Cricetulus griseus: one gene and its partner. The protein of the gene in region 1 interacts with the protein of each later gene in a biochemical or structural test. Links are inferred from orthologs where the notes say so. Each region holds a gene or a part of one and is shown on either strand. Other genes may lie near its edges.

The links.
Region 2: of the proteins of Cdk1 (region 1) and Rgcc, one has a biochemical effect on the other in vitro, tested with the Homo sapiens proteins (2 studies listed by BioGRID and IntAct). The link is inferred for Cricetulus griseus from reciprocal best matches to the Homo sapiens genes CDK1 and RGCC.

The regions. Positions count from the first base shown.
Region 1 is NW_023276806.1:268,286,682-268,291,122, reverse strand, and holds the end of Cdk1 (cyclin-dependent kinase 1), read right to left. Parts: intron 3,471-4,441; coding exon 3,307-3,470; intron 3,219-3,306; coding exon 3,077-3,218; intron 1,011-3,076; coding exon 912-1,010; 3' UTR 634-911; downstream 1-633. UniProt on the Homo sapiens protein: Plays a key role in the control of the eukaryotic cell cycle by modulating the centrosome cycle as well as mitotic onset; promotes G2-M transition via association with multiple interphase cyclins.
Region 2 is NW_023276807.1:233,634,855-233,639,000, forward strand, and holds the start of Rgcc (regulator of cell cycle RGCC), read right to left. Parts: upstream 2,877-4,146; coding exon 2,699-2,876; intron 1-2,698. UniProt on the Homo sapiens protein: Modulates the activity of cell cycle-specific kinases. Enhances CDK1 activity. May contribute to the regulation of the cell cycle. May inhibit growth of glioma cells by promoting arrest of mitotic progression at the G2/M transition.

The sequences.
Region 1 (4,441 bases):
ACTAGCAGACAGATCAGGCTGCTTCTAGGAATTACACTGAGCAACATAATTCCCAAAGTGAGTAGTTTCAGCTAAATATTTGGACAAGAACATTTTTAGACACTGCTAATAAACAACACTGTCAAAGGAGTTTAAGCAGTTTTCCAGTTAGACTTGGAAACCAAGGCAACCCCTCTAAGTTACATAGGAGTCCAACTGGACAAACAGCTTTCACAACAACCCTAAAAATAGCGAGTCTTCATAAATTTCTGAAACTGTCCTTCTACTCTGGACAGCCCTTGGTCTCTAGCTGTAAAACCTGGCCCACTGTGGTACATTTACATGTTGGTTTTATGTTACTAAAAGCCCTGTAGACCGCTCAGATCTTGGGCCTTATCCAATCTTAAACACAAGTAGAGAAAACACTCGGAAGGCAGACGGTAGTTTCCATACAGCCAGAAACTGACAAGAAAACTTAAGTACCCAGACGACGAAGGTACTCCAAAGCACCATGAAAGCTAAACTCAGATCCTAGATTACATGGTCCCAGCTGCAGGAATAGCTGCTGTGAGTCTGGAATGACTCAAGTCTCCACAGTTTCTTGCAGCAACACTTCTACTTTTGTTACAGTAACAAACAGTCACCACAGTGAGATCTACACATATACAGAAGTATTATATTTAAATTCATATGGAATAATATTTACATGTTAATTAAGTTATATGTATGAAATTAAGAAAAGTCCAGGTGATGGTTTACAAACAAACAGAAGAAAAATATACAAGATAGGAAAAGAGCCAACGGGAAATGCCACTATCTGGCCCTGCCACAGCAAGCAGGGACTCCACAGAAAAATATACAAGACAGGAGGAGAGCCAACAGTAAATGCCACTATCTGGCCCTGCCACAGCAAGCAGGGACTCCACAGAAAGCTACATCTTCTTAATCTGATTGTCCAAGTCATCAAAGTACGGGTGCTTCAGGGCCATTTTGCCAGAGATTCGTTTGGCAGGATCATAGACTAGCATTTTCTGGAGAGAAAAAAAAGAAGAAATAAACTTAGAAAATGAGCCCTTTAAAATCCCATAAGCTGTAGCTTCTTCCAGCAGTGAGCCATATTAGTAATTTCAGTGAGGGCCTGCTTAGGGGGATCTTAACTTCACCAGCTCACTACCAAGCCTGCCCTCTTACCCCTCCCCTCCAAGATGCTAAACTCAGACTTCTGTTATAACTTATAAGATTATTAACAGGTAGCCTCTGTTATAAATTATAAAATAAACACTCAGATGGCTTTAAAACCAAAGCATACATTTACAGACGTAAATACATTATCGTAATGTAAATACGTAAATACATTACAGACGTAAATACAAAGCATACATTACAGTTAATTATATCTACCTTGAGAATTACACGTCCGTTATTCACAACATTCCTGAAAAGGTGGTGATCAACTATTGTGTTTCATGATAGTGTCCAGACGACACTTGCCCAAACCAAAGGAAAACACCCACGATGTGTTTTTATAAACACAGCTACAATAGATGGATTATTTACAGTAAACCAATTTATAAACTCCAGAGAAAGTATTTGATTTTAGTTTGTTCACACATATTATCTTCAGAGAAAATTAAGTCAATAACATCCTACCCCAACCAATGTAGTGATTCAAGGATGGCCTGGAATCTCCTGATCCTCCTGCCTACACCTCCCAAATGCTGAGATTATAGGCAGGTGCCACACCAGGTTTGTATGGAGCTAGAGATCAAGCCCAAGGTTTTCCTGCATGCTGGGCATGACACTGGCGGGGCTATAGCCTCAGGCCCTACAGATACTTGCTAACTAGTTACCAATTAAACTCTTGTACTCATTCAGAATTGTATGAAGGCTTTGAGGACATGTCAGTTAATCCTCACAGCAAAAGGGAGAGAGATATGCTGTACTCCCCAGATGAAGACACCACATCTCTTCAGGACATTAAGAAAGTTGCCCACATCTGTAAATGTGGGGAGAAATAAACTGAAATCTGAAGCCAAGTCCACTCAATAATCTAGTGGTTTCCATCTGTGGGAAATCTTGCTTCTCAGGGGCCTGCCAAGGATACAGACATTGCTGACTGTAGCACATCAGTCTTCTGATAGTTTAGAGGACAATGACACTGCCACAATGTCCAGCAACTGACAGGGCCACAGCAAGAATTAGCTAGCTCAGGGTGTCAGCTCAACTGAGGAAATTGGTGTACAGAACTAACTTTTGTTAAGTGAAAGTTTTTATGTTCAAAGACTTGAGAGCTAAGGATATAGCCCAGCAGAGTTCATGGCCAACCCCCATGGAAACCCTACCTTCCATCCATGAACCCCCTCCTGCCTAAAACCATAAAACAAATAAACAAACAAGAGATAGGAACTTTAGACATGACCAGAAGATTGGGCCCAGGATATTAATATGCAAAATGTATAAAGGCTGGAGCTTGGACAAATCTGTGACACAATCTATAGATTGTAACAGCTGAAAGACGAAGTGGAACATGTATGTATTTGATTCCTTTTATAAATTAAAATTTAAATACCGCTCTACCTACAACAAATTCCCTAAAGTAGGTTTTAACAGTAATTCTGTTCTTTGCATTATTTTTTAAAGAAAATAACTAACTGGGTGCAGCAATGTAACGGAAAAAAACAAAAACTACATTAGTCTTTCCAAGCCTTTCTTAGGCCAGACCTGAGAAACGGTGTTTACGCTGTAAAAAGCCTGAATAACTCAAATTATCAAATCAAGCAGTTGTCAACAGAATGCAGAATGATAAACACACAAAACAGCCAGAAAGGAGTCATTCGGATTCAGCAACACACTCTCAACTAAAACAGTGTGTGAGTGTGAGCCCTGGCCCCTGATGCAGTGTATCCACAGCAACCTGCCGATCGAGAAGTGATAAAGTCTAATCCTGAAGGTTACTCAGGACCACCAGCACTTCCTATCTTAGAGGCACCTAACGCCACATCTGCCTCCAGGACTGAGTATGTTCAGTCACTCCTGTGTCACTCACTATGAACATGCAAGCACACTACACTCAAACCGTAAAGCACAGCTGGCTTACTGAGAGCAAATCCAAGCCGTTTTCATCCAGGTTCTTGACATGGGATGCGAGGCTCCCCGGCTTCCACTTGGGAAATGTGTTCTTGTAGTCCTGCAGAGACTCTACTTCTGGCCACACTTCGTTGTTAGGAGTCCCCAGAGCTCTGAAAGAAACAAAATGGGATCACATACACGGTGCTTTATTATTTAACCTTATAAGCTTTTAATAGCTTAGGTATAAAACACAATTACCTGAAAATCCTGAAGAGCTGGTCAATCTCTGAATCGCCATGGAAAAGCGGCTTCTTAGTTGCTAGTTCTGCAAATATGGTGCCTATACTCCAGATGTCAACAGGGGTGGAGTAACGAGCTGATCCCAGCAACACTTCTGGAGATCGGTACCATAGTGTCACTACCTGGTACAAGACAGAGCACAGCGTAAACATGCCACATACAGCTGCTTCACTGGCTTGTCTTTCAGAAAGTTTTGCAGGCCTCACTAGCAGCTTAAGTCAATATACAAATAAACTTCTTGCTTTTCAAATCATCGAAGTAGAAGGACCAAAGTAGCTAAAGCCTGGCTAGGCTTAATCGCACACACCTCTAATCGCCGCACTTTAGCACTCTGATGGCAGAGGCAGGCAGATCTCTGTGAGTTCAAGGCCAGCCTGATCTACAAAGTGAGTTCCAGGCTAGCCAGAGCTATATAGTGAGACCCTATAGTCTCGAAAACAAACAACAAAATAGTTAAAGCCTGATATATTTAAAAAAAAAAAATTACAGCAGAAAAAGTACTAATAAATAATGGTTTAGGAATTGTACTGTACAAAGTTCAGAGTTTTTTACATGTTGACACAGCAGCTAAAATTAACATGCATAAAACACACCACAAAAAAAAAAAAACAAATGATTTAGAACTAATCAACCATAGTAGTATATTCATCAAAATAGTGATGCTATGACTTCTAAGAACCACACTAATGGGGTTAATAGCAGTTATAGCCATCAAAGAAAATTCAAGTAACTGTGTCAAATAAAAAGGAATAAACGAGGTAGGGCTGAGAGGTCAGTCAGTGGAGAGCTTGCCTGTCAGGCATCATGTGTAGGATCTAATCCCCAGAACTGCATTCCCCAGGCACAGCAGTGCACACGAACGACCTCCGTACCCAAGAGGCAAAGGCGAGCATCAACAGCCATCCAGAGAATTTGAGGCCAGCCAGGGCTACAGAAAACCCTGCCTCAAAAAAAAACAAAAGAAACAAGGAGGGAAAGGGACAGGAGTCCACCTGACACGATGGACTCCAAGTTCACAACTCCCCAGATGTCAATGTTCTTGCACTTTACAAGTCACTGCCCTTTCACAAACACCAGAGGAACCCAGTCTAAT
Region 2 (4,146 bases), on another chromosome or scaffold:
ATTTTTTTTTTATTTTTTATTTTTTTTTTTTTTGGTTTTTCGAGACAGGGTTTCTCTATGGTTTTGGAGGCTGTCCTGGAGCTCTTGTAGACCAGACTGGTCTCAACTCACAGTGATCACCTAGCCTCTGCCTCCGAGTGCTGGGATTAAAGGCGTGTGCCACCAACACCCAGCTGAAAAGCAGCAATTTTTAACCCCAGCACCATATCTCTAGTCCTGTAACCTAATTTTTGTTTGTTTGTTTGTTTGTTGAGAAAAAGTTTCTCTGTGTAGCTTTAGAGCTTGTCCTGGAACTCATTCTGTAGACTAGGTTGGCCTCAAACTCAACCTAATTTTTTAGGGGGGAAAAAAAAAGGTATTTTTCAAAAGTCAGGAATATTCATCACCTATGTCCACTGACCCTTGATCCTGAAAACCTTGAAAAGGACCTGCAATACCATGTATAAAGACACATGATCTGAGCACAATGGAGCATGAGGCTACTCCCAAGTTCTGGTTCATATTCTGTGACGACAGAGCAAGGCCATAGACAGCCAGCCTGTGGTCTGCTATTTTATCAAAGAAATTGATGAAGATCAAAGTACCTAACCTGTGGTAAGGATTATGTGTGATAACATTCAAAGAACAGCTAGAGATGACTGATAACAAGAGCAAACAAATTTTGATTATAGCAACCCTAGCGAGGGCTCGGTAAAAGTAAGCTAGCTGTTGCTGCCATTATTATAACCCTGGCGGGCCCTCTCTAGAGAGTTAAGTTTCAGTGGGCTGCATCTCACCCAGGTATTCTCCTCTTCCAAACAGACTAACAAATGTCTGTGCTCCATTCCTGGAGACAATTAAGACATATGTATTCTTTGTCCTTAAGAAAGCATTATTTAGATACATACAAATCCCAACAAGACTATTTCTGAGCAGTCACACGGGGAACAAACCAAGGTCTTAGGTCCTTCCCATTACTTCCCAAACACCACACTAAAAGCGTAAGGTTAACAACGAAAGCAGACAGTGAACTATGCACAGATATACCCTAAGGAAATTAACAAATTCTATCAACTGTCTCCCAAACTGCTAAGAAAGTGTCTCTAGTGCATTCTCTTTCTAAGACTCCTAAAAACACATCCTAGATCTGAAATCCCCCCTGGCAGAACTTGTGGGTGCTTCCGCCATAACTGCACGAGACTCTGGTGTAGCAAGGAGCTGTCCTTGGCCACAGTGCAGCAGTAACAGACCCAGCCTTGTGTTTTGTGAAGAAGAGCAATTATACATGATGAATAACTTGTCCGTCAACCCAGTGGTAGGAGATATGTTCAAGTTATGCCACAGGTATTGACTTCCAATGCAAGGCTTTGCTTGGAATGCTGGGAATAAGCAATCAGGTCAGTAGCATCAAAATGCAAAAGTTGTAAATGGACCAGAACAGCTCGCCCACCCTCTCCCATCCCCCTCCTAAGTCACACAGTGGTCTATGCAGGCCGCTATGGAAGATCAAACTAGAGCTCAGGTTTCTGCCTCAAACCCTGACCAGGATGTCAGCCAATGTCCCTTCCCAGGAGGACAGCTCAGGTGCAGGTCTCACATGGAATCTTCAAAAAGAAGAACTCTCTAGGTTTCAAAATAACATGCCTTTTCCTCCCAGGATCAGTGGGGTGATGTCTGCGCCTGCAGCCTATCTAGGGACTAAGCGCTTACAAATAAACAGAATTTAAAATTCACATTGAAAACCAGTGGGTAAGCCAGGGTTTGAAAACCAATTATGTAACAATAAAGTCTCCAAATTCACTGTTGGACACCTAAACAAATATCCAGAATCTTGCAGGTCATTTGAGTTATTGAAATACAACTCCAACTCCACGGGTTTGCTTTCTACTGGAAAAGGTTACCAGGGTAAACCTCTACTGGCAACCTGGAGGGAGGGCCTGCATCAAACAGTAACTGAACTAACTCAACAGTCCAGGGGGAGGATTGTTTCAAAATCCCCTGGAGTGGTGAAAGAGCCTGGGAGCTCAGAAGAAAGTGAATGAAGTTATTTCAAAAATTCCAAAAAAACGGCAGCTTATGAAATCATTTTGGTTTCACAAATGTTTCATTATTGTGTTTGCCCTGTCCCCAAGTCCTCAAACACCCATTCTGGAAAAGGAAAGGGGGGGTGCTGTTGGTTTAGGGTTGACCTAGAGTGCAAGAAACCCCCATGACTGCCTATACTGGACATGCTGGCACTCCTCTGTGATCCCAACATCCTGAAGTCCAAGGAAGGAAGGTCAGAAGTTCAAGATCATCCTGGGCTACACAGGTCTCCTCCGGAGGGTCTCAATAAATTTTTTTTTTTAAAAAAATGAAGAGCTGGGAGAAAAGCGGGTAAACTATTAGAAGACCTGGCTGGGGTCCCAGGAGTTCTTGTCGACTGCACAAACCCTCAGGCCTCATGGCAGACACCTGCCTGCATGGCAGGCAGACCCAAAGTCGTTCAAGAGTTCCCGTATGATTTCGGCCATGCCCCCCCACTCCCCCACCATCCCCTGAGTTTAACTCCTGAGTTTAAATCTCAGAAAGTCAACTCTCCGGGCTTCTCAGGGCCGGTGCAGGGCCTCGGGTCTGAGTTTCCTGGACACCGAGGCTCAGTTTACAGACAGCCCAGCTAACCTAGAGCCCTAGGAAGCCTGAGCCCTGGGGTCACAGACTTCAACAGTGCCTCACTTACTCTCCGAGTCGCTGAAGCCGCTGCTGTCACTGACGCTGGCGCTGCTGCGCCGCTTCATGCGTTCCAGGTGCTCCTCATAGTGGAAGTGGCGGGCATGGAAGGGCGATGCAAAATCGGCCAGCACAGCATCGAACTCGCACAGCACGTCCGTCAGGTCTGCAGCAGCCGCTGAGTCCATGGCCGGGGCTGGGGGCGGGCACAGAGCATTCAGTTGATGGGAGCGTGCGTGGGGGTGACTCTTCCCCAGCCCGTGGGGGATCTGGAGAGGCGGTCACCGGACTAGGATAGCTAACTGCACCCCCAGTGACAGCCGCCCTCCAAGGCGCCTGTCACCAGACACAGACGAGCAGCAGCCTCCGTGGGTGGAGCTGAAAGCCTGGAAGGCACCTAGCCCACCCCACGCGCTTTCCTACTTGTGCCCACGCTCACTCCCTGGAGCGAGTGGCGGCGGGAAGCCTGAGTCAGCGAGCACCCGTTACGTGTCAGGCTCAGATCTTGTCCCGCGTGGGAAAACAAACGGAACCGGCCCGGACCGTGCGACCAGGGGATGGGGTGCCGGGGTGACGGAGGACGGAAGGATGGGCAGTGGAAAGGGACCGTCGCGACCGGTGTTCTCTCGGCCCCACCTGCAGGCTCGGGCTCTCAGGGGCCCCGGGACTCGGGGTGTAGCTTAGATGGACAGAGTCCCTAGCTTCGATCCCGGGGCTCAGAGGTGGAGCGGGCACCCCCAACGCGGCACTCACCTGCGGCTGCGGCCGCAGCAGGGCTGCCCTGAGTTGAGGGCGGCTTCATGGAGAGGTTGCTCGCCGCACGCGTGGCAGAGATGCTGAGAGGTGCTGGCCCTGGTGGCTGCCGCCTTGCACTGCAGTCCGCTCCGCTCCGGTGGCCCTGCCTCGCTCCTTGCCGAGCGCTCGCTCCTCGCTTGCGCCTCCACCCCCAACTGCACCTTCTTATAGCCACCGGCAGGGGCGGGGCGGGCGGGGCGGGGAGGGACGGCGGCGGAGTCTGTTCCAGACGACTTAGGGGACGCCCCTGTCCTCCCCCATCCCCTACCCCGGCACCGCCCTCGCCACGCGCCCGCCGACTGGGAACCGCAGTGACGACTTGTGTCGCTGGAGCCCAGGTTACCGCCCCAAATATTTACCCGCCGCGTTCCCCGCCACCCTGACAACCCGACCCACGGAAGTGTCTTTGCTGGCCCCACAGTCCTCCAAGAGTTTATCCTGCTTCCCGCCGTCTGCCCGAGCCTCCTTGAGCCTCAGTTTCCTCATCTATGAAAAGGAACTGCAAATGTAGAGCCTCCTTGCTTGCTACAAAAATAAAGGAACCGAGGGCCTCGGGAGGTTGTACGAGGGCAGAGTCCCGCGTCCTTCCCCCCATTTCCTAAGGAATTTACAAGATTGTGTGTGCACAGAGTGGTCAGCCACGCGCCCTGGGCTGAGGTGAAT